4 linked regions of the Schizosaccharomyces pombe genome follow. The gene in region 4 interacts genetically with the main gene of each other region. Each region holds a gene or a part of one and is shown on either strand. Other genes may lie near its edges. The genes, in order: end4, apm1, gga21 and cfr1.

Region 1 (6,208 bases), 140 kb from region 4:
GTATTGAATAGTCGGCAACTGGCCCTAAAATTGATTGCAAACGTAACTTACGGATATACTTCAGCGTCATTTTCAGGAAGAATGCCGTGTTCAGAAATCGCAGATACTATTGTGGAAACAGGACGTGAGATACTTAGCTATTCACTAGAATACATAAATACTTTAGATTTTTGTCATGCAAAGGTCGTTTATGGTGATACCGATAGCTTATTTGTTGAATTACCTGGAGCGACTAAAGAGCAAGCTTTCGACATCGGACAGCAGCTAGCAAACAACATTACTTCCAGATTTCCTTCTCCAATTCGACTTAAATTTGAAAAAATTTACTTTCCTTGTTTCTTGTTAGCGAAAAAAAGATATGTAGGGTTCAAATTTGAATCAGTTAGTCAAAAAGCTCCAATTTTTGAAGCGAAAGGCATTGAGACAGTTCGAAGGGATGGTACTCCTGTTCAACAGCAGCTCCTTCGTCGTTGCCTTGAAATACTTTTTAAGACAAAGGATTTGTCAACGGTCAAAAAAGAATTTCAGAACGTATGTTATCAAATTATGAGTGGAAACGTTCCTGTTATGGATTTTTGTTTTTCAAAAGAAGTTCGTCTAGAAAAATATAAAGAATTAAGTACTGCTCCTCCTGGAGCAGTTATGGCTAGACGGTTGATGACCAAAGATCCTAGGAGGGAACCTCAATATGGAGAACGTGTTCCATATTTGATTATCGCTGCTGCTCCTGGTACCACCTTGGCGAACCGCTCAGTTGCACCCGAAGAATTTCTGTCTTCGAGTTTTTCTCAACTTGATATAAATTATTATATCAACAATAGTTTGATACCTCCATTAGATCGATTTCTAAACTTGTTAGGGGCTAGTGCCCAGTCATGGTATCATGAAATGCCCAAACCACGTACCAGTTTAAAATTGACTGAAACAGTGAAAGGAGGTATTCAAAAAAAGACTTTGGACACTTTTCTGATGGAGAAGCTTTGCTCTTCTTGCTTGAAGAATAATATTGAAATTATTCCTGATAAAATTAACTCCCTCTGCAGTGATTGCTTAAAAAATCCTTGTGCTACTATTTCTAAAGCTGTTACGCAGCACAATGCTTATAACAAAAAACTTTCCTTGCTATTTGATATTTGTCGAGGCTGCAGTAAGCTTTCATCTAGTGATCCAGTTCTTTGCAAGTCAAATAGCTGTAAGGTGTACTATGATAGGGCGAAAACTGAGAATTATGCGAAAGTACAGGCAGAAATGTTAACGAAGACTCTTGGTTCTTTAGACTGGTAAATCATTATAACTTCAAATATTGGTGTGAAGGACTTGAAATTAAAATACATCAGGCATTTGTTCTCTTATCACCTGCTAGTTTATTCATCTACGTATTATTTATTACAATTATTTATTTTTTTTAGAAGGTTATATCGATAACTAAAAATATTAATATCATCATGTTATTGGATTTTTTTTTTTTAGTTAAAATTTAGTAAACCTCTTCGTATTCTAGGGTGCGTAGCAATTCTTTATTTACTTTTTACTGTCCGCAATACTACGCTGTGATACTTTACGTCGCGTGTCACTATATGTCAAGTGCACTGTTTTGATTTATCAACTTGACATGATAAGTTATCAAGGTACGGTTACTAATTATGATAAAGTAACTATCACTTACTACATTCAAATTCTTAACACTATATATTGAGATAAACTGAAGTGAGGACGGGAATCGGTTTTTAGCTACGTTAGTGATAAGTAACAGATAATGTGTATTAGAATACTTACATCAATTGCTACTTATATTACCTCGTATTGCAATATAACAATCACAAGGAAGATTCAATACTGTTTTTAAGTATCGTTAAAATAGATACCGAAATACGTAGCTGATATTTGCGAGACAAATTACTTCGTAATTATCAAAATTCGTACGGGACACGGATGTCGTAGTTTTGAAACAGAACCAATTTCTATAGTAAGAACGGACAGAAGACAATCTTGTACATAGCACTACGATATTTGTATTTTACCAGAAATTGTTAGGATTTGAATTGGCAAATTTTTAATTACCAAAAGTGAGAAATCGAAAAGTACACGATGAGTTCGTTTCGACTGCAATCCGATCACATGCAGTCAGACGCATCGTTGATGACAAGCGTGCGGAAGGCTACTAGCATCGATGAAACAGCCCCAAAGCGAAAGCACGTTCGTAGCTGCATCATTTTCACTTGGGATCATCATACAGCCAGGCCTTTTTGGACTGCTATAAAAGTTCAGCCATTGCTTGCAAACGAAGTTCAAACTTTCAAGGCGTTAATTACCATACATCGTGTCTTGCAAGAAGGTCATAAGTCTGCACTTGTTGATTCTCAAAGTGAGAAAGGCTGGCTTAAAACTTGTGAACGACAGTATGATGGTGAAAGTAGTCCAAAGGGCTATAGCGATTTAATTCGTGATTATGTGGATTATTTACTTGATAAGCTTTCTTTTCATGCTCAACATCCGGAATTTAATGGTACTTTTGAGTATAAAGAATACATTAGTCTTAGGCAAGTCGATGACCCTAATGAAGGTTATGAAACTGTATACGACATGATGAATCTTCAGGATCATATTGATGAATTTCAAAAACAGCTTTTTTCTAACTTCAAGCGTTCAAATAAAAATGAATGTAGAATTGCAGCCCTTGTGCCTCTAGTTCAGGAGTCATATGGTATTTATCGATTTTTAACTAGTATGTTACGTGCTTTATATAGCACAGTTGATGCCCCAGAGACTTTGGAACCTTTGAAGCATAGATATAAGTCACAACACCATAGGCTTCGTCAATTTTACGCGGATTGTTCAAATCTTCGATATTTGACTAGTCTCATTTCAGTCCCTCGTCTTCCACATGATCCCCCCGATTTGGAAGGTGATGACAATATCCCTGATCTTCCTAAGAGACCTGCTTCAATTGCTCCCCAACCCACTGGCGCCTCGACCATTGCTCCTCAGCCTACTGGTACTTCTCCATCTCCGCCGGTTGAAATGAATTTTCCTGATACTAGCGACATTACTCCGGCTTATAGTGAACCTGAACCTATTCAAGATTTCTGGTCTGATCCTACTTTAGATCAACAATTGGCTGCTCAGCAAGCGGCTCAGCAAGCTGCTCAACAACAAGCAGAGTTAGCGGCTCAGCAGGCCGCAGCACAGCAGGCTCAATTAGCAGCTCAGCAAGCTGCCGAAATGGAGCGTCAACGGATGGCCGCACAGCAACATCAGCAGGCCTTGGAGGCAATTCAAATGGCACAAGCTGAACAACAGCGTATTGCGCAAGAACAACTTGCTCAGCAACAATTTCAAATGCAAACACAAGGACAGTTGGCTGAACTTGAGCAACAGCTTCTTGCTACTCGAGGACAACTTGAACAGAGCAATGTGTTACTTAATCAATATGATGCTAGAGTGAGAACTCTTGAAAATGAGCTGAGCCAGGCTGGCGTTAACTTGCAGGAGCAAATACATCAAAATGATGATCTTATTGAATCTTTAAAAAATCAGATTCTTACATGGAAAAACAAGTACGAAGCATTAGCCAAATTATATACACAACTTCGTCAGGAACACTTAGATTTACTTTCGAAATATAAACAAATTCAGCTCAAAGCAAGTTCTGCGCAAGAGGCTATTGACAAGAAAGAAAAAATGGAAAGAGAAATGAAGAATAAAAACTTGGAACTTGCTGATATGATTTTGGAAAGAGACAGGGCTCGTCACGAACTCGAGACTATGCATCGTAGTCAACGAGACAAGCAAGAAAGCACTGAGCGTGAATTACGTTTACTTCAGGAAAAGGCTGCTTCCCTTGAGCGCAATAAATCATCTGAAGTATCAAATTTGCTTAGTCGTTATAATACAGAAGTTGCTCATTTAGAAGATGCTCTTCATTCAAAGGATCGTGAGCTAGCCAACTTAGGTGTTGAATTGAAGTCTACTGAAAATCGGTACCGCCAACTTTTGCAGGAAAAGGAAGAAGAGCTGGAGATTCAAAAAGCAGCTGTCGACGAGTCTCTGTTACAGCTTAGCAAATTACAATTGGATCGTAATGACATTGATCAAGCGATGGATACTCAAATTGACGAGCTTTTGAAATCGCAGCTGGAGAAGCTTGATGACATAGTGGATTCTGTTTTGGCTACTGGTATCCAACGTTTAGACACTAGTTTGTATGAACTGGATTCACCGATGCATGCCGGTAATCAATATGCTACTCCTGAATTTATTCTATCTACTATTGAAAATGCTAGTAACAATGCTACTGATTTTTCGACAGCATTCAATAACTATTTTGCTGATGGGCCTAACGCTGACCATTCTGAGGTCATCAATGGAGTCAATCTTTTCTCCACGGCCATATACGAAGTTGCCAATAATGCTAAAGGTTTAAGTAGAACAACTGGTGACGACCAAGGATCGGATCGGTTTGTTGGCTTATCTCGGGATTTGGTAAATATGGCCAAACGGTTCCTTTCCAGTTTATTTTCCGTCAACACAAGAAAAATGGATGTAAATGTTAAAACAGATCTTGTAATTGGTGAAAATATAGAGTTACAACGCTATTTACAACAACTTACACAGTACTCTGAAAAATTCCTGAACAAAGAATCGGAAAACACTGTGGGATTACTCAATGCTCCCGGTGAAAACATTGAAGAACTTGTCGATAATCAACTGGCGGAAACAGCACAGGCTATTCAACAGGCTATTTTAAGATTACAAAATATCGCAGCAAAACCCAAAGACGATAGTTTGTCCCCTTCAGAACTGCAAGTTCACGATTCTTTGTTAAGCGCATCAATTGCCATTACCGAGGCTATTGCCAGATTAATTAAAGCAGCAACTGCTTCACAGGCAGAGATTGTTGCTCAAGGAAGAGGTTCCAGTTCACGTGGTGCATTTTATAAAAAACATAACCGCTGGACGGAAGGCCTTATATCAGCTGCGAAAGCCGTTGCGCGTGCTACAACTACTTTAATCGAAACTGCTGATGGAGTCGTAAACGGTACATCTAGTTTTGAGCATTTGATTGTCGCATGTAATGGTGTTAGCGCCGCAACTGCACAATTGGTTGCAGCCTCTCGTGTAAAAGCAAATTTCGCCTCTAAGGTTCAAGATCATCTTGAGGATGCTGCGAAAGCTGTTACGGAGGCCTGTAAGGCATTGGTTCGTCAAGTGGAGTCTGTTGCTCTCAAAGCTAAAGAGGTGCAGCATGAAGACTTCTCTTCATTGGGTGTTCATGAATATCGTCGTAAAGAAATTGAGCAACAGGTGCAAATTTTGAAGTTGGAAAATGATTTAGTCGCTGCCCGACGTCGTCTTTTTGATATGAGAAAAACATCTTATCATGTTGCCGAAGAGTAATTAAGTCTTTTCGATCCTTTTTATTTTTATGAATTAATTTTGGAAAGCCTTAAATACTCAGCTATTAGTGCTTCTATTTTTGCTAGGTCGATACGGGATGATAAATACATTGCGTTCTTTTCCGACCAATAGGCAGTATTAGTATATTTAAATTTTAAATGTAAATAAATACCATTACATATTGTGACACTTGTAGATCCTACTGATATACTAATGATCAAAGCAGAATGGCTAACCTACCGCACTATATCTCTTAAAGTAAAACAAACATAATCCAGATTTATTTTTCTACAACTTTTTCTTTTTCCTCCTCTCGGTTTTTTTCTCTTTCTTTTGCTCCTTCTTTTGTTCTTTCTTTTCTCGTTGTTCTTTTAAGCGCTGTTTTCTTTCAGCCAGTAGAGCCTCATCTTCAGGATTTGCGCAAGCAACTTCGAATAGTTTCCATGAAAGAATTAAACCTAGACCAGTCGCGCCAAAAACATAAAGATCTAAAGTAATCAATGTGGTCTGAACAAGTATGAATGTGATTATCATCTTAATGATGATCTCACGGCCTGACACATTGCTACGAACTTCTTTACGAATACCCAAAGGAAACCATCGAATTTTACCAGGGGGTCCAAATGAAATATGATAATTCCGTTTCGTGGGATTGTTAGAAGGACCCTTGGGCTTATAAATGTGAATTAAATTGATAAATGCTCCAATAAGGAAAATAGCTAGTCCAATTTTGTTATTCTTCGGATTCGAGAAAGTCTTTGTCAATTGATACGGAGATTCTTCTTCACTCATTGTAATTTATTTTCTATTA
Region 2 (4,397 bases), on a different chromosome or scaffold from region 4:
GCTTTTGTTGGTTTAGCTCTACACGTTGTTCCTTTCCCTACTAGTCAAGCACAGGCAGCGTTCCTCGCGCGAGTTTGGTCTGGTCGCCTCAAATTACCCAGCAAAGAAGAGCAGCTGAAATGGCAAGACGAATTAATGTTTTCGCTGAGTGGAGCAAATAATATGTATCACTCTTTGGATTATCCAAAAGACGCTACCTACATTAACAAGCTACACGACTGGTGTAAACAGGCTACACCTGTTCTTGAAGAAGAGTTTCCGTCACCGTATTGGGGCGAGAAGGAACGAAGCATCCGTGAAAACATGTGGTCCATCCGTGCTAAGTTTTTCGGAATTGAACCTCCAAAGTAAATACGTACTTGAAAACTCATTACACCCTTAGACCTTTAAACTTTTCCCTTCAATCTTTTTCTTACTATCCGGTCTCCCTCTCATTCTCTCGCTTTTGGTTTTTAATTTATTATGTTTAGAAAACCGTTTGGAACAATCTGTCTTTTATGTATTTTTAATACACGGAGATTCACTACTGAGTAAATGGAATTGTATGTTAGAAAATCTTTATTTCTGTTTTAATAAAAACATTGAACTTATCCTTTATACAATAAATAGACTTAGACATTTATGTTTCAAGCAAATGCTCCTTTTATGTCAGCTGAGTAAGAAAAAGGATTAGCGCGTCTGCAAACAAGATTTCATTTCGTAATAAATGGGATCAGTACACTAAGAAAACAAATATATAGATGAAGGGAAAGGTATCTAAAGGTAGAAAAAAGAACGGAACGGAGAACCATCATTAGAAACATTTACTGACGGATGGAATATTCAGTACCATTTTGTGTAACATATCGAACCCAAGGCATAGCATGATAATTAAGTTTTGGTTCGGTGATTTTTAAATAACGAACTTGGATCCCTGAGGTAGTGAAATAGGGAATAGCAAATTTTAGTTGAACAGGACGTTTTTTCTGAACTTGAATATCTTCATTTTTAACACTTGGTAAACCCATTTCAGCACGCATGAAAAATTCTTTACCACCTGCAAATTTCTTAATGTTCCAAACCATGGCAGCTTGTTCAGGTGCATATTGCACATGACCATTGCTAGTTTGAAACCGAGGACTGTCAGCATCTTCCGGAACGGGAATGATGATTTGGACATTATTTGCAATACAACGCTTTTTGAATTGAGCCTTAGCTTTTACCATAAACTCAATTCTCGAACCTGAATGCACGATGGATTCACATTCAACCCAAATTAATGGCCGTACCTAACGAGAAATTAATATTAGAAAACGTTGATAAAGGAGAGAGGGAATAAAAAGAACAGGCACAAACTAATAACTTACATTTGAACTCATGCGATAGGACATTAAATCAAATTCGCCATCAGGAGGAATGAACGAAATTGTACGATCGTTTTCAAATCGAGCAAGACGAACACATTGGTGAAATTTCACATCTTCCATTTCCACAGTGTTTCCTTTAATGGTACGACCAGCCGCTTCGAAAAGGACCTTGTCATTGAGCCCAAGACGAAGTTCAGGCATTCCTGATAAGTAGCATTTGAGACGAACTTTTCCTAAGATTTCACTTTGAATGACCGTACCATCGGCAGCAGCAATTAAATTAACTGATTCAATAACGTCCAAAAATACTTCATTCTTACGATAGTGAATTCCTTCAGAACGCCAGGAGATAGCATTTGTCATAGCAATGGGGGGTGGAGCATGCTTTTTTACCGTATTTGAGGTTTGAGTGATGTATTCTTGCAAGATTTTTGTTTCAGTTGTTTGTGGAAAACCGAAATCCATGATCTCGTCTAACAATTCATAAACAAGAACAAAGTTATCTCGAATCGACTCTTCCTGCAATTCTTTAAAGTAATCTATAAAAACGTCCGCCATTTTACGCAAAAATACTAGCATCTCCATTGCATCGGAATTCATTTTGGATAAAGCAAGGAGGTAGACATCATTATGGTGAATGTAAATGTACTGAAAAGTGTTAGTACGACCATAAAAAAATAAGAATTGTTGGCTTTCATAATATCTAACTTTTACATACGTTAATGCCTTCGTGAGTGAGACAAGGGGTGGAGAATCCTTGTTCTTCTTCAACTTCTGATTTTAAAGGTAAAAACTTTTCAACTACTGACATGGGGATATCAGCTCTAATTGTTTTCTGTTAGTAACCTGTCGACGAATTGCGACAATCTGATTTTCATTCAGATTTCAAAATTGCCTACCGGTAATCACGGGAAATGATTACCTTTCCCTTTAAATTCAGAACGAATATAGCAGAAGCCATTTTTACAGAAGCCGCGAATAAGGCAGCTAGTTTCGCTCTGGATAACTAGCATTGACTGTTGGCTGCCTCATCACCGTGCCTAAGCACCGCTAGTGTAATACAGCGTAATTCACTATTTCTGTTTCTTACATATAGTACGAAATTCTTCTTATATTGAGTAATTACTACTCTATGCACACATTCAGTCTTCTTTTATAAGATAATCTATTCAGATAATTATAACTAATTTACATTATATGGTTTTGTAAATGCCGAAAAGGAAAATAATTTTTCTGACAATGTAAGAAAATTTCGGTATGTTTTATTTGACAACTTTGGCTTATAACAATAAGAATAACAAATATTTTAATAAAATTTGATCTCAAACATTGTAAATATTAAAAGCCACAAATCCCAAGAAAGTGCAACGAAAAAAGTTGTTAACTTTCACCAATGATAAAACCAAAGTGAACATCGTGGCTTTTTAAAAAGACACAGATTTTTTTCTAAAATAAAAAGGATAGAGAAATAACAACGTAAAGATTCCAAAAGTGTGTAAAAAATCAATATATACCTCGTAACCTTAAAATACCCAAATAAATTCCCAATAAATACATAACCTATACGCGTCTTTAAACAAGTCGAATACGCTTTTCATGAGCCCTTCGCTGTCTTTTTACGGCATCTTTTCTTTTTCGTTTGTAATCACGAGTTAAGAATAGACGATTTTCCGACCACCAGGATTCAAGAGCTTCTCTGCTCGTATAATCTTCATTACCTGGTTGGAATAGGGAAGAAGGATTGGGTAGAGTAAACATTTTTGGCCAACCCTTGGTACCCGATGAGGCTTTAACTATAGCTAGCGGAGTTTCCCCATCTGCCTCTTCTTCCATAGTTTCGTAATTACGGTCATCAATCTCACTTTCCATTTCACTTTCCTCACCAACTCCATTTTCATTGCCAAAAAGAGAAAACTTAGACGTATCCTGCGCATTGGAAGAAAACATTTCTTTTAAATTGTCAACGTTAACAACAGCAGTACGCTCATCAAATGCTTCAAATTCAGCAGGAACATCTATGTGTACGGACTCTTCCTTTTGTAAATTATCTTGTTCATCCAAACCTTCTTTTTGGAAATTATTAGTCGAATCATTGTCCAGTTCCAAAACACCTGAAGTTTTAGATACGGTATCAATTTCTTCTGTATTTTCAGAACCAAACAGTTCAGCTAACACAGATGCAGCCGTATCCTTATCTTTTTTTCGCAAAGCATCCAATTGCTCTTCGTTTAATTCTTTTGTGACTTCAATCTCCCCAGTTGTGTTATTAAGAAGTTCAAAATCGTTATCATCCTTCTGAGTAGAAGCTTTGATACCCAATTTTGCTTGCATACGTATTTTGTCACGAGAAGCTCTCTTACCCCCATATGATACATACTCATCATGATCAGAATCATAAAAAGCTGTAGTATTGTCCATATTCGTTTCCACTCGGCCCCATAGTTTTTGTAAGCAGTTTTTACCCAGCGGATAAAAAAACCTCGTTTTCTTAGTATTTTTATTATACATTCGAAGCACGACAATGGCCCTTCCATAGGGGCCTTTTTTCCAACCTTTTCTAGGAGGATCCTTCCGAACATCAGAATCCGTGACCACCTGCATATTTTTACTATGTTTTCCGGGAACAATTATTTCTCCATGAAAGACTGGGTCTTCCAGATCAACTTTGCTGGAGTGATCTTCATTTTTCTCATCATTATTAGTACTTTGAAGATCAGCAATTTTTTTTTCCTGCTGCAATTTTACTAAATAATAAGGGCGAGCTTCCTCTATACGAAGTTTACTTCCTTTAAACGTCGCATTTGATAAGTAAGACTTGCATTTCTGCCATTTATCTTCATCTGTTCGAAAATTCAAGTATGCAAATCGTTGTATAGTTCCTACTGGAGTAGATTTGTTTATAATTTCAAGATTTGAAACACTTCCAAAACGAGAAAATCTGGATTCCAAATCTGAAGATTCAATAGAGGATGAAAGGCCACCAACATAAATCCGTTTTTCTAACTCCATTATTGAAGTCAATTGATACAAAATGAGGACAAAAAGTTTCGC
Region 3 (4,752 bases), 2.6 Mb from region 4:
AGGGCTACTTTGGGTATTTCTTCAAAACTAATCGCGTCGAAATGGAAGTGTTGGATAGTTTCAAACAACAAGTCGCTAAATTACAGTTCCTTGCGGGTGCGGAATTCATTGTCAAATTTAAAGAGGATCTTGAAAAATGCGCTGCAGAAGAAAAGGAAAAACAAGCTACATTTGACAATTATTCTGAGAAGGTTGAAAATCTTGGGAAATCGATTGAAGCTTTGTATTTTGCACTAAATCGAGAAATTAGTTTCCGAAAGTCTTTAGCGTTGTCTAAATCAGCATATCACAATCTTTTGGTTCGAGATTCTCCCAAGTTTAACCCAGATTCCCAAATTACTTATAGTATACCGGTTACCAATACCAAGCAGTCATTGTTACGTTCTGCAATATTATGTGTCATATCACTGCAACGTTTGAGATTATTAGGTCAAAGACATTCTTTTTGTGAAGAGGTTATCGAGAACCTCTCTTGTGTTTAAATGATTTACTAACAACTACATGATTGAGGCTATTTTAAGGTTTGCTTCGATAAAAAATAAATTTTAAATTTATTTTTCATTACTATGAAGCATATAATGTTGACTGAGAGATATAATAAAATGGTTTTGGTTAAGGCATTTGTATTATAAAAATTTAAAATCGGTATTGCGGAAAGAATTCTAAAAATAAGGAAAGTTCGCTTTATCGTAGTTTATAGTTTAATTTATCAAATCGCAGAGGCTCACATTAATTAAATAATAAAACCTGTAATATCAACTGACGTTTTCACTTTTTTTATATTCCTTCATCTAGTTGAGCAAATGGAAGAAAACGCACGTAGAATTACAGCGGAAGATGCGATTCGCCTTGTTCTACACGATGATCTGTACCGATGATCCACTGAACTCTCCAACGAATTCGTAAATCAGAGGCATCGGCGGGTATGTTGGTAATATTCATAATCTCGTGTGCAGCATTCTGTTTTCCGGGGGCAATAATTGCATCCCCAGTATGAGGAAGTAGCTGTAACTTGAGAGATTTCACAACCGCGACCTGGAAGACTACTTCGGACACTGGCCAGGTAAGGGAGCAATTAGAGAACTGAACGGAGTATGAAGCAAAGCCAGAGCTTTTTTGAACCGAAGTTAATTGAGTAGAAATCATTAATGAATCAGATTGAAGAATAGATGTCAAAGATGAATTAGTGTTGGGGATTGCTGCTTGACTATAAGAAGGTGAATTCAAAGCTCCATTCGACGTAGACGACATAGAGTTAGAAAGGGATGATAACATTGACAGAGATTGGTTGGCTGGTACATTGGTTGGAAGTGATGGGGACGGGACTGCAGGTTCCTCAGTAAGCTTCATCAAATCAATTAACGAAGATTCTTGTTTCGTGTCATTAGAAGAAGGAGGTACGTGAGATTCAACCACATTCGGTTGGGAGGAAACTACATTTGTACCGGAATGTATTAAGTCTGAGTTGGAACATTCTTCAATGACGTTAATAAGTAGGTCATTCAGCGAAAGAAGTTTCTGCACATAGTATTCATCTTCATTTTCCTCTCGAAGAATTCTTGCTATTTTCGTTTGGTAAACCTTTAAAGATTCAACGGCATCCGCCAACGTGCCTTCTTCTAAAGATACAGTTTGATTAACCAAAAATTGCTTTACCCGAAGTGCTTTTGATCTAATCGATTCAAGGTCGGCAGCAGCCAAGGCAGAGTAATCTTCAGTATTCTCTTCATCATAGCCAGCTATTACTTTCATAAGAGCATTGGCTTCAGCCAAATCCATGGGGGTCCCTCGTCGAAGCAATTCTTGCAATTTAGCTTTGTGAGCTTCTAAATCTTCACGTGCTAATTCTTGTGCAGAACGAAGACTATTATTAGGCTTCATGACAGCAATGGAATCTTCGTCTACCGCAGGAAACTTGTAACCACGAAAAGCCATAAGCTCCCGAATGTCGTGAATGCGAGAAAAATCTTCACGATGGCGATTGTTTTTACAAAGCATGTAATTCCACTCTTCTAGCATTTCTAGCATTTTAGATTGAATTTTATTCATTCGGGAGATGGGATGGTTTGGGAATCGTGAAACGAATCCATTTAAAAACTCTTCTGATGCGATCTGAAAGTGAAATGGATAACCGCAGTTCTTTACACAAATATCGAGCAACTAAAGCACTTATGTTAACCAAATATCTCACAAGAAAGCGTAAAGTACTCTGGACTCGCCATGGTGAACAATAAACGCTTGACCATGCACATAAAGGAGAGATTCGTAAACTGATGGGTACCAACCATTCTCCTCAAAGGCTAGAGGAATATACTTACATGTAAAGCCAGATATGAAACTGTGGGATTTGCACTGTTGACACGCTTTAAAATCAATAAAGCTGCTTCACGTGGGCTGCGAAAAGTCAGCAACAAAGCAATTGTAGGAATTAAATCCTTAATTCACGTACGTATTTCCTTTCTTTTCATTTATAAGGTCCGCTATCTCTATATTCAAGGCCAAATTTGGCTCCAAATTGAATTGATCGGTAGCTTTGTCTAATTACTTGTCAGCGATTCATATTCCCATCTTAACAGTAAAATATAGCGTCACAAAAGAATACTCACCAATATACTTTGATAAAGTCTGGCTAGAGCGCATGGTGATAAGTAGTAAATTTTTCTAGATCTAAAAACAAAACAGAAGGCAGATTCGCAGATTTGAAGAGCCAATAAAATTAAAACAAAAAGAAAAAATCCAAAAACAAAATTGTGCAAAAGTCTGAGGTATACTCTTCAGTCAAGGAAGTTGGGAGGCTTGGTTTACCAACAAGAGACCAAACGAGTTCTAAGTCAAATAAGGTATGCGATAGTAGAGTAAAGATTAAAACCACCATAAGAACCCGGTTATATCTGGTTCAGCTGAAAAGCTTTATGTAAAGAACAAGTTCCCAAAACTTGCTAAAATTCTTCAAATATATGCTACATGCCATATTTTTGATCCGCAGTTTATTGCTGTAGCTAGTGTCGAATTGAAAATTAAAATCCAATTGAATTTAATTATTTTTACATGAATGAAACAATTTACTATCGAGCACAGAAACTGATAAGTGTAAGAAGAATGAAACTAACACTGTTGTTACGTTCCATAATTAAACACTGACAAGAAAACGTAGCTCTGCTATTACTTTCACTATTCATTTTGTATCAAAATTTTTAAAATGGATCGAGGAGAACAATTGTACAATTGTATATCGTTGAAAAAGCATGAGGAAAATACATTGTGTGTAAACGAGTTTTGTGTAACAGTTCTATTTGAACAACTATGAAAGTATTAACAGCCATACAAGGTCATTTTACGAGAATTGACCATTCTTATATTACCGCGAGGCTTTTTCCTGGATTTGCCAAGAAATGCAAAAAACTAATGTCATTGCATTGTCTCGCTCAAGAGTGAGAACATTAACCACTTTTGGGCAATATCCACTTTTCAATAGCATATCTTTAATGAATGTAAGGAAATATTTTTCTGAAAAGAAGGAGGGACGGTCAATTGATTAAGTAGTCGAATTGTATATAGATAAAGATTTCCTCTCATCTTAATACTCGATTGCTACTGAAGATGATTACTTTTAACACGGCATTGGTACAGTGCATTATTGATTGATAACAACACCCACACCAAATATGGCGGATTTCCTACATCAAACAGCGTGTCACTTTTCAACATCGATATTTGGATATGGGCCCAAGGAGTTCTAATCGTCGTTCTAATGCCAAAGATGGCTTCAAGGGTTCAAACAAGGCATCCAAATTTCCATTACCCTTAGCAATGTGGGATTTTGGACATTGTAATCCAAATGCCTGTTCTGGTAAACGATTAGAGCGTCTAGGATGCGTACGAAACCTTAGAATTGGACAGAAGTTTCGAGGAGTTGTAATAACGTAAGTTGAGAACCGTTAGAAAGAAACCCGATCTTAAACTCTTGTCGAATGTTTGCTGTATACAGCGCAAGGGCACTAAGACTAATTATTAATATTTTTTTACCATTTTGCTATGTATCAGATTTTAACGCTGCAGACCAAACGGAAAAGTTCCTGTTTCTCCAGCCGATAAGGAGTACTTTGATAATGGAGGTGCTAGTGTAGTTGAATGCTCTTGGGCTCGCATAGAGGAAATCCCTTTTTCTAGAATTGGTGGTCGCTGTGAGCGGTTGCTTCCATATTTAGTGGCCTCCAATCCAGTTAACTATGGTAGGCCTTGGCGATTAAATTGTGCTGAAGCTCTGGCAGCTTGCATGTATATTGTCGGATATCCTAATGAGGCGAGACTTTTAATGGATAATTTCAAATGGGGACATTCTTTTTTTGAGGTAAACGAAGAACTTCTCGATATTTATGCTCAATGTCATGATGCTCAAGATATTCAAGAAAAAGAAAAAAAATACTTGGAGGAAATGGAAGCTTCTTACCAAGAACAAAGAAATCAAACTACTGACGACATTTGGTCAGCTGGAAATTTAAATCACAAACCAACATTAAACACCAGTTCAACACATTCAAACTCTGAAGAATCTCGGTCACCATTACACGAACCGTCCGAAGCTTCATTGGCTCATGACGAACACTCTATTCCAACAGATGATAATGAAGAGACTCTAACTAATCTGCAAGCCAACGATGTGGATGAAGATGAAGTCTGGCGAAAAATCGTGAGAATGAAAGTTCATTCTACTGATACCTAAAAGATATATACTTTTGGATTTTTATATAA
Region 4 (4,577 bases):
GAGCCTTCTGCAGCTGTTCGTAGTGGAAATGCTGCTGCTTCGTCGACGCCGAATATGAAGACAGCTGCAATTCAGCAGCAGATTGACGATACTGTGGGGATTATGCGTGAAAACATTTCTAAGGTTTCAGAACGTGGAGAACGCCTTGATTCTTTACAAGATAAAACAGGTATGATATTTATTTTTGTTAACAGTTAAATTTTTTTTTTGAACGTTTAGCTAACTTCTTTAAGATAACCTTGCTGTTAGCGCGCAAGGCTTCCGTCGTGGCGCCAATCGTGTTCGCAAGAAGATGTGGTGGAAGGACATGCGTATGCGTCTTTGCATTATCATTGGTATCATCATTTTACTTGTTGTCATTATTGTTCCTATCGCAACAAAATTTCATGGCAAGTAAGAAGATGTATCATGTAGCTTAGTCGCATGCCGAGTCAAAATATTTGCTGTTTGAATACTTTTTTTTCAAGCGTATTTTTGTCTCTGGTTTTTTTCTTCCTTCTCTCTTTCTTTCTCTCTTGCCTGACACAACAACCTATAAATCGAATTTTAAGAAAAAAGCTTCTGATGTAGACAGGGCCACTTTTTTTGCAAAGAGATAACGCATTTTTTCTCAAGATCCTTTATTCGTTTTTATTTTTCTTGCATATACATACTTGATGACTGACGGGTCAATGATAGTGAATACCAGGTTGGTTTTTTGTTGAGCAATTTGGTTTTGGCCTGTATTGCTTTTTCCTCTTTTCTTCTTTCTACACCTCACCATACATATCATGGGCCTTGCTTGCTTGACAAAGGAAATCTTTATGGATACAAAATTATCATTACTTTCCGTACTTAAGATGGTAAATAGAATTTTTGTTTCCTTCTCGGTATTTCTTTTCTATTCCGCTCTTTATATGGATAACCCTATAGCATAAAGATGGATAATGTTTTAATGTATACAGATTAGCCTCGATATTCCATTTGTCTACGGCTTTTTTCTAATTCTTCAAAAGTACTTAGTACGGGAGCAAATTTGTTATCTTATTTTCATATTTTTCCTTTAGAAGCTAGCTTCTTTTTATACTGATTATTGCACTGATAGGTGTATTAAAAAACCACTATTCTTAATTAATTTTATAGAGTGAAATGTGTAAACCTGATAATTAGGAAATATTTTTTAAGTTTGCTCACACGTGGTTTTATATCCAGATTAACAATTGTATTATTTTTCGACTTCTATTTTGCTCAACAGATATTGTGGTCTAATCCTTCATTCGTGTAGTATTTTAAATTTTGAATGCAGCACGGTTTACGAATTAAGATATATTCATCAACTGGGTTCAACAGTACTGCATTTGTTTTTGTTTACTATCAATGTAACTTAACGTAATTTAGAATTTAATTGTATCAGAAAGTAGTATATTTGCTCCCCTTAAAATGCTTTAGTCTGAAGAATAGATAATAATAGCCCAATATTTTAATAATTTAGATGATTGAAAAAATCAACAGATTTTTTTGTAATATTGTTTGTATGAATTCTCGTTGAAATATAATAATAAACTACATATATTAAATCGTTCACTTTTACTGAGTGATTGAATTAAATATATCTTCAAATATTTGTATATAATTTTAATAAATTGTAATTGTCTTCCTTACTAGAATTACGCTTATAATGATACTAACCAGAAAATTTAAAAAATATATAAGTTTGATATGTAAATAGATTGTGAAAAACCAGGGAATCACAACAACTCTTGATATTTATCAAAACAAAGATGATTATAACCTACATTTTTACTACGGTTCCTTAGGTAACAAGTGCTACCTATAGTTAGAAGTGTAAGAGTGCTGGTTAAGGTAAACACTCCACCACAACCAAAGGGGATTATCAATAATAGCATCTAAAATGGATGATACAAATCAATTTATGGTGTCTGTGGCCAAAATAGATGCGGGAATGGCCATCTTATTGACACCTTCATTTCATATTATAGAATTTCCATCCGTGTTGCTGCCGAATGACGCGACTGCAGGCTCTATAATCGATATCTCTGTGCATCACAATAAAGAGGAAGAGATAGCAAGAGAAACTGCATTCGATGATGTTCAAAAAGAAATTTTTGAAACATATGGCCAAAAATTGCCGTCTCCTCCTGTTCTTAAGTTAAAGAATGCTACTCAGACTAGCATTGTATTGGAATGGGATCCTTTACAACTCTCCACTGCGAGACTCAAAAGCCTTTGCTTGTACCGTAATAATGTTCGAGTGCTTAACATATCTAATCCCATGACTACTCACAATGCCAAGCTGAGTGGCTTATCTCTCGATACAGAATACGATTTTTCCCTTGTTTTGGATACGACTGCGGGAACATTTCCCAGCAAACACATTACCATCAAAACGTTAAGAATGATAGATCTCACAGGAATTCAAGTGTGTGTTGGCAACATGGTTCCCAATGAGATGGAGGCTTTACAAAAGTGTATTGAACGCATTCACGCTAGACCAATTCAAACTAGCGTTCGTATCGATACAACTCATTTTATCTGCTCTTCTACTGGGGGTCCTGAGTACGAAAAGGCAAAAGCTGCCAATATCCCTATTTTAGGTTTGGATTATTTGTTGAAATGCGAATCTGAAGGACGTTTGGTGAACGTTAGTGGTTTTTACATCGAAAATCGCGCTTCTTACAATGCTAACGCTTCTATTAATTCTGTAGAAGCTGCGCAAAATGCTGCACCAAATCTCAATGCTACAACCGAACAACCGAAGAATACCGCTGAAGTTGCTCAAGGTGCTGCATCAGCTAAAGCTCCACAGCAAACAACCCAACAGGGAACTCAAAATAGTGCAAATGCTGAGCCATCTAGTTCAGCTTCTGTTCCGGCTGAAGCGCCTGAAACTGAGGCTGAGCAATCAATCGATGTTTCCAGCGACATTGGTTTACGAAGTGATTCTAGTAAGCCCAATGAAGCTCCAACTTCTTCGGAAAACATCAAAGCGGATCAGCCAGAAAATTCTACAAAGCAGGAAAATCCCGAAGAGGATATGCAAATAAAGGATGCTGAGGAACATTCGAATCTGGAAAGTACACCTGCTGCCCAGCAAACTTCCGAAGTTGAAGCTAACAATCATCAAGAAAAACCATCTTCTTTGCCAGCCGTTGAGCAGATTAACGTGAACGAAGAAAACAATACCCCGGAGACTGAAGGACTTGAAGATGAAAAAGAAGAAAATAATACAGCCGCTGAATCTTTAATCAATCAAGAAGAAACTACCTCCGGTGAAGCAGTTACAAAGAGTACTGTTGAATCCTCAGCGAATGAGGAAGAAGCTGAACCTAACGAAATAATTGAAGAGAACGCTGTTAAATCTTTATTGAATCAAGAAGGACCTGCAACTAACGAAGAGGTTGAAAAAAACAATGCTAATTCTGAAAATGCGAATGGCTTGACAGATGAGAAAATAATCGAAGCCCCTTTAGATACTAAGGAAAATTCAGACGATGATAAGCCATCTCCCGCAGCAGCTGAAGATATTGGTACTAACGGTGCAATTGAGGAAATCCCTCAAGTTTCTGAAGTCTTAGAGCCAGAAAAAGCGCATACTACTAACTTGCAACTGAATGCGCTCGATAAAGAAGAAGATCTAAATATTACTACAGTTAAGCAAAGTTCGGAACCTACGGCTGATGACAATCTAATACCCAACAAAGAAGCAGAAATTATACAATCTTCTGACGAGTTTGAAAGTGTAAACATTGATTAATGACATTGATCTCTTGTATTCTGCAGTCTTTTTTTTTTCTTATGTTTATATGTTAACATTCTACGAATATCCTCCACTTTTCCAATCGTTTGACTAAAGGCACATGGGAACCATTTTGAACTGTAATGCTCTGGTATCCTTGCAGTCTTCTAGACCATGGAAGTACATCTAAACTCATTTAGCATTAGTAAATATATAGCTTCGGATTTTTTTTTCGTTCTCTAATAAATTTTTTTTTTTAAATTAAATCAACTAGGTCAAAAATGGGTAATGGGAGGTTTTGAAATTATGTTTCATTATACTGATAGACAGAACTTACAATATCGTAGTTTGAAATTCGTGCTGGCGTCTTCTTCCATATGTATCAATGATTCTTTATTTTGACCTTGGCAAAGCAAAGCGAATTGCCATATATTCGGAAATATCGAGTATAAATATTCTATCCTTTCAATTGAAACTTGAATAAGGCTGTGTTTTAAAAATCTAGCATGCTCACAGTTTGAATCAGTGCATACAGGTGTTTGAGTATAAATCGCGATTTGGGTTAAATATTCTACTTTGTTTTGTTCAAAAGAAATAAGCGTCGTAGTTAATAAATGCATTTTGTTTAAATCAGTATCATTTAGGATGGGTGAAAGGATTTTTTTTTAAAACGCGTCGTTTGTAGAAGAAGAGGTGCATAAAATATGAACACACCACATATAATAATAAGAGGATAGACATTAAAGCCAACAACCTATTAAAAGTGTAAATTTGAAATCAAAAAAGATTAAAAAAAAGAATAGGAATCGACTTCTTTTACACAAAGAAATCCACACCTATT

What was found.
Region 1: mutations in cfr1 (region 4) and end4 impair growth when combined (synthetic growth defect), as found in Schizosaccharomyces pombe (one study listed by BioGRID).
Region 2: mutations in cfr1 (region 4) and apm1 impair growth when combined (synthetic growth defect), as found in Schizosaccharomyces pombe (one study listed by BioGRID).
Region 3: of cfr1 (region 4) and gga21, changing one enhances a phenotype caused by changing the other (phenotypic enhancement), as found in Schizosaccharomyces pombe (one study listed by BioGRID).

Annotation. Positions count from the first base shown.
Region 1 is NC_003424.3:3,133,037-3,139,244, forward strand, and holds end4 (clathrin adaptor End4), read left to right. Parts: upstream 1-1,950; 5' UTR 1,951-2,088; coding exon 2,089-5,397; 3' UTR 5,398-5,630; downstream 5,631-6,208. Other genes in the region: DNA polymerase zeta catalytic subunit Rev3, read left to right, coding at 1-1,284; SPOM_SPAC688.12C (uncharacterized protein), read right to left, coding at 5,686-6,189. UniProt on the Schizosaccharomyces pombe protein: Required for cellular morphogenesis and polarization of the cortical cytoskeleton. Required for establishment of new polarized growth zones where it acts in actin organization.
Region 2 is NC_003423.3:1,908,090-1,912,486, reverse strand, and holds apm1 (AP-1 adaptor complex mu subunit Apm1), read right to left. Parts: upstream 2,347-4,397; 5' UTR 2,308-2,346; coding exon 2,246-2,307; exon of another isoform or gene 2,171-2,245; coding exon 2,065-2,170; exon of another isoform or gene 1,995-2,064; coding exon 1,347-1,994; intron 1,269-1,346; coding exon 804-1,268; 3' UTR 672-803; downstream 1-671. Other genes in the region: fmo1 (flavin dependent monooxygenase), read left to right, coding at 1-351; ribosome biogenesis protein Nop8, read right to left, coding at 2,919-4,355. UniProt on the Schizosaccharomyces pombe protein: Component of the adaptor complexes which link clathrin to receptors in coated vesicles. Clathrin-associated protein complexes are believed to interact with the cytoplasmic tails of membrane proteins, leading to their selection and concentration.
Region 3 is NC_003424.3:621,160-625,911, reverse strand, and holds gga21 (adaptin family protein), read right to left. Parts: upstream 2,790-4,752; 5' UTR 2,641-2,789; coding exon 2,607-2,640; exon of another isoform or gene 2,538-2,606; coding exon 2,450-2,537; exon of another isoform or gene 2,395-2,449; coding exon 2,319-2,394; exon of another isoform or gene 2,161-2,318; coding exon 826-2,160; 3' UTR 505-825; downstream 1-504. Other genes in the region: mitotic and meiotic spindle pole body protein, gamma tubulin complex linker-related Spo15, read left to right, coding at 1-482; SSU-rRNA maturation protein Tsr3, read left to right, coding at 3,721-3,923, 4,060-4,723.
Region 4 is NC_003424.3:3,268,344-3,272,920, forward strand, and holds cfr1 (CHS5-like protein Cfr1), read left to right. Parts: upstream 1-1,853; 5' UTR 1,854-1,891; coding exon 1,892-3,754; 3' UTR 3,755-3,806; coding exon of another isoform or gene 3,807-3,922; 3' UTR 3,923-4,024; downstream 4,025-4,577. Other genes in the region: syb1 (synaptobrevin family receptor), read left to right, coding at 1-169, 234-397; bouquet formation protein Bqt1, read right to left, coding at 3,807-3,922, 4,074-4,356. UniProt on the Schizosaccharomyces pombe protein: Required for cell fusion, independently of fus1. Appears to have a role in transporting proteins that are involved in mating. May act as a scaffold to retain cell fusion proteins in the cisternae of the Golgi.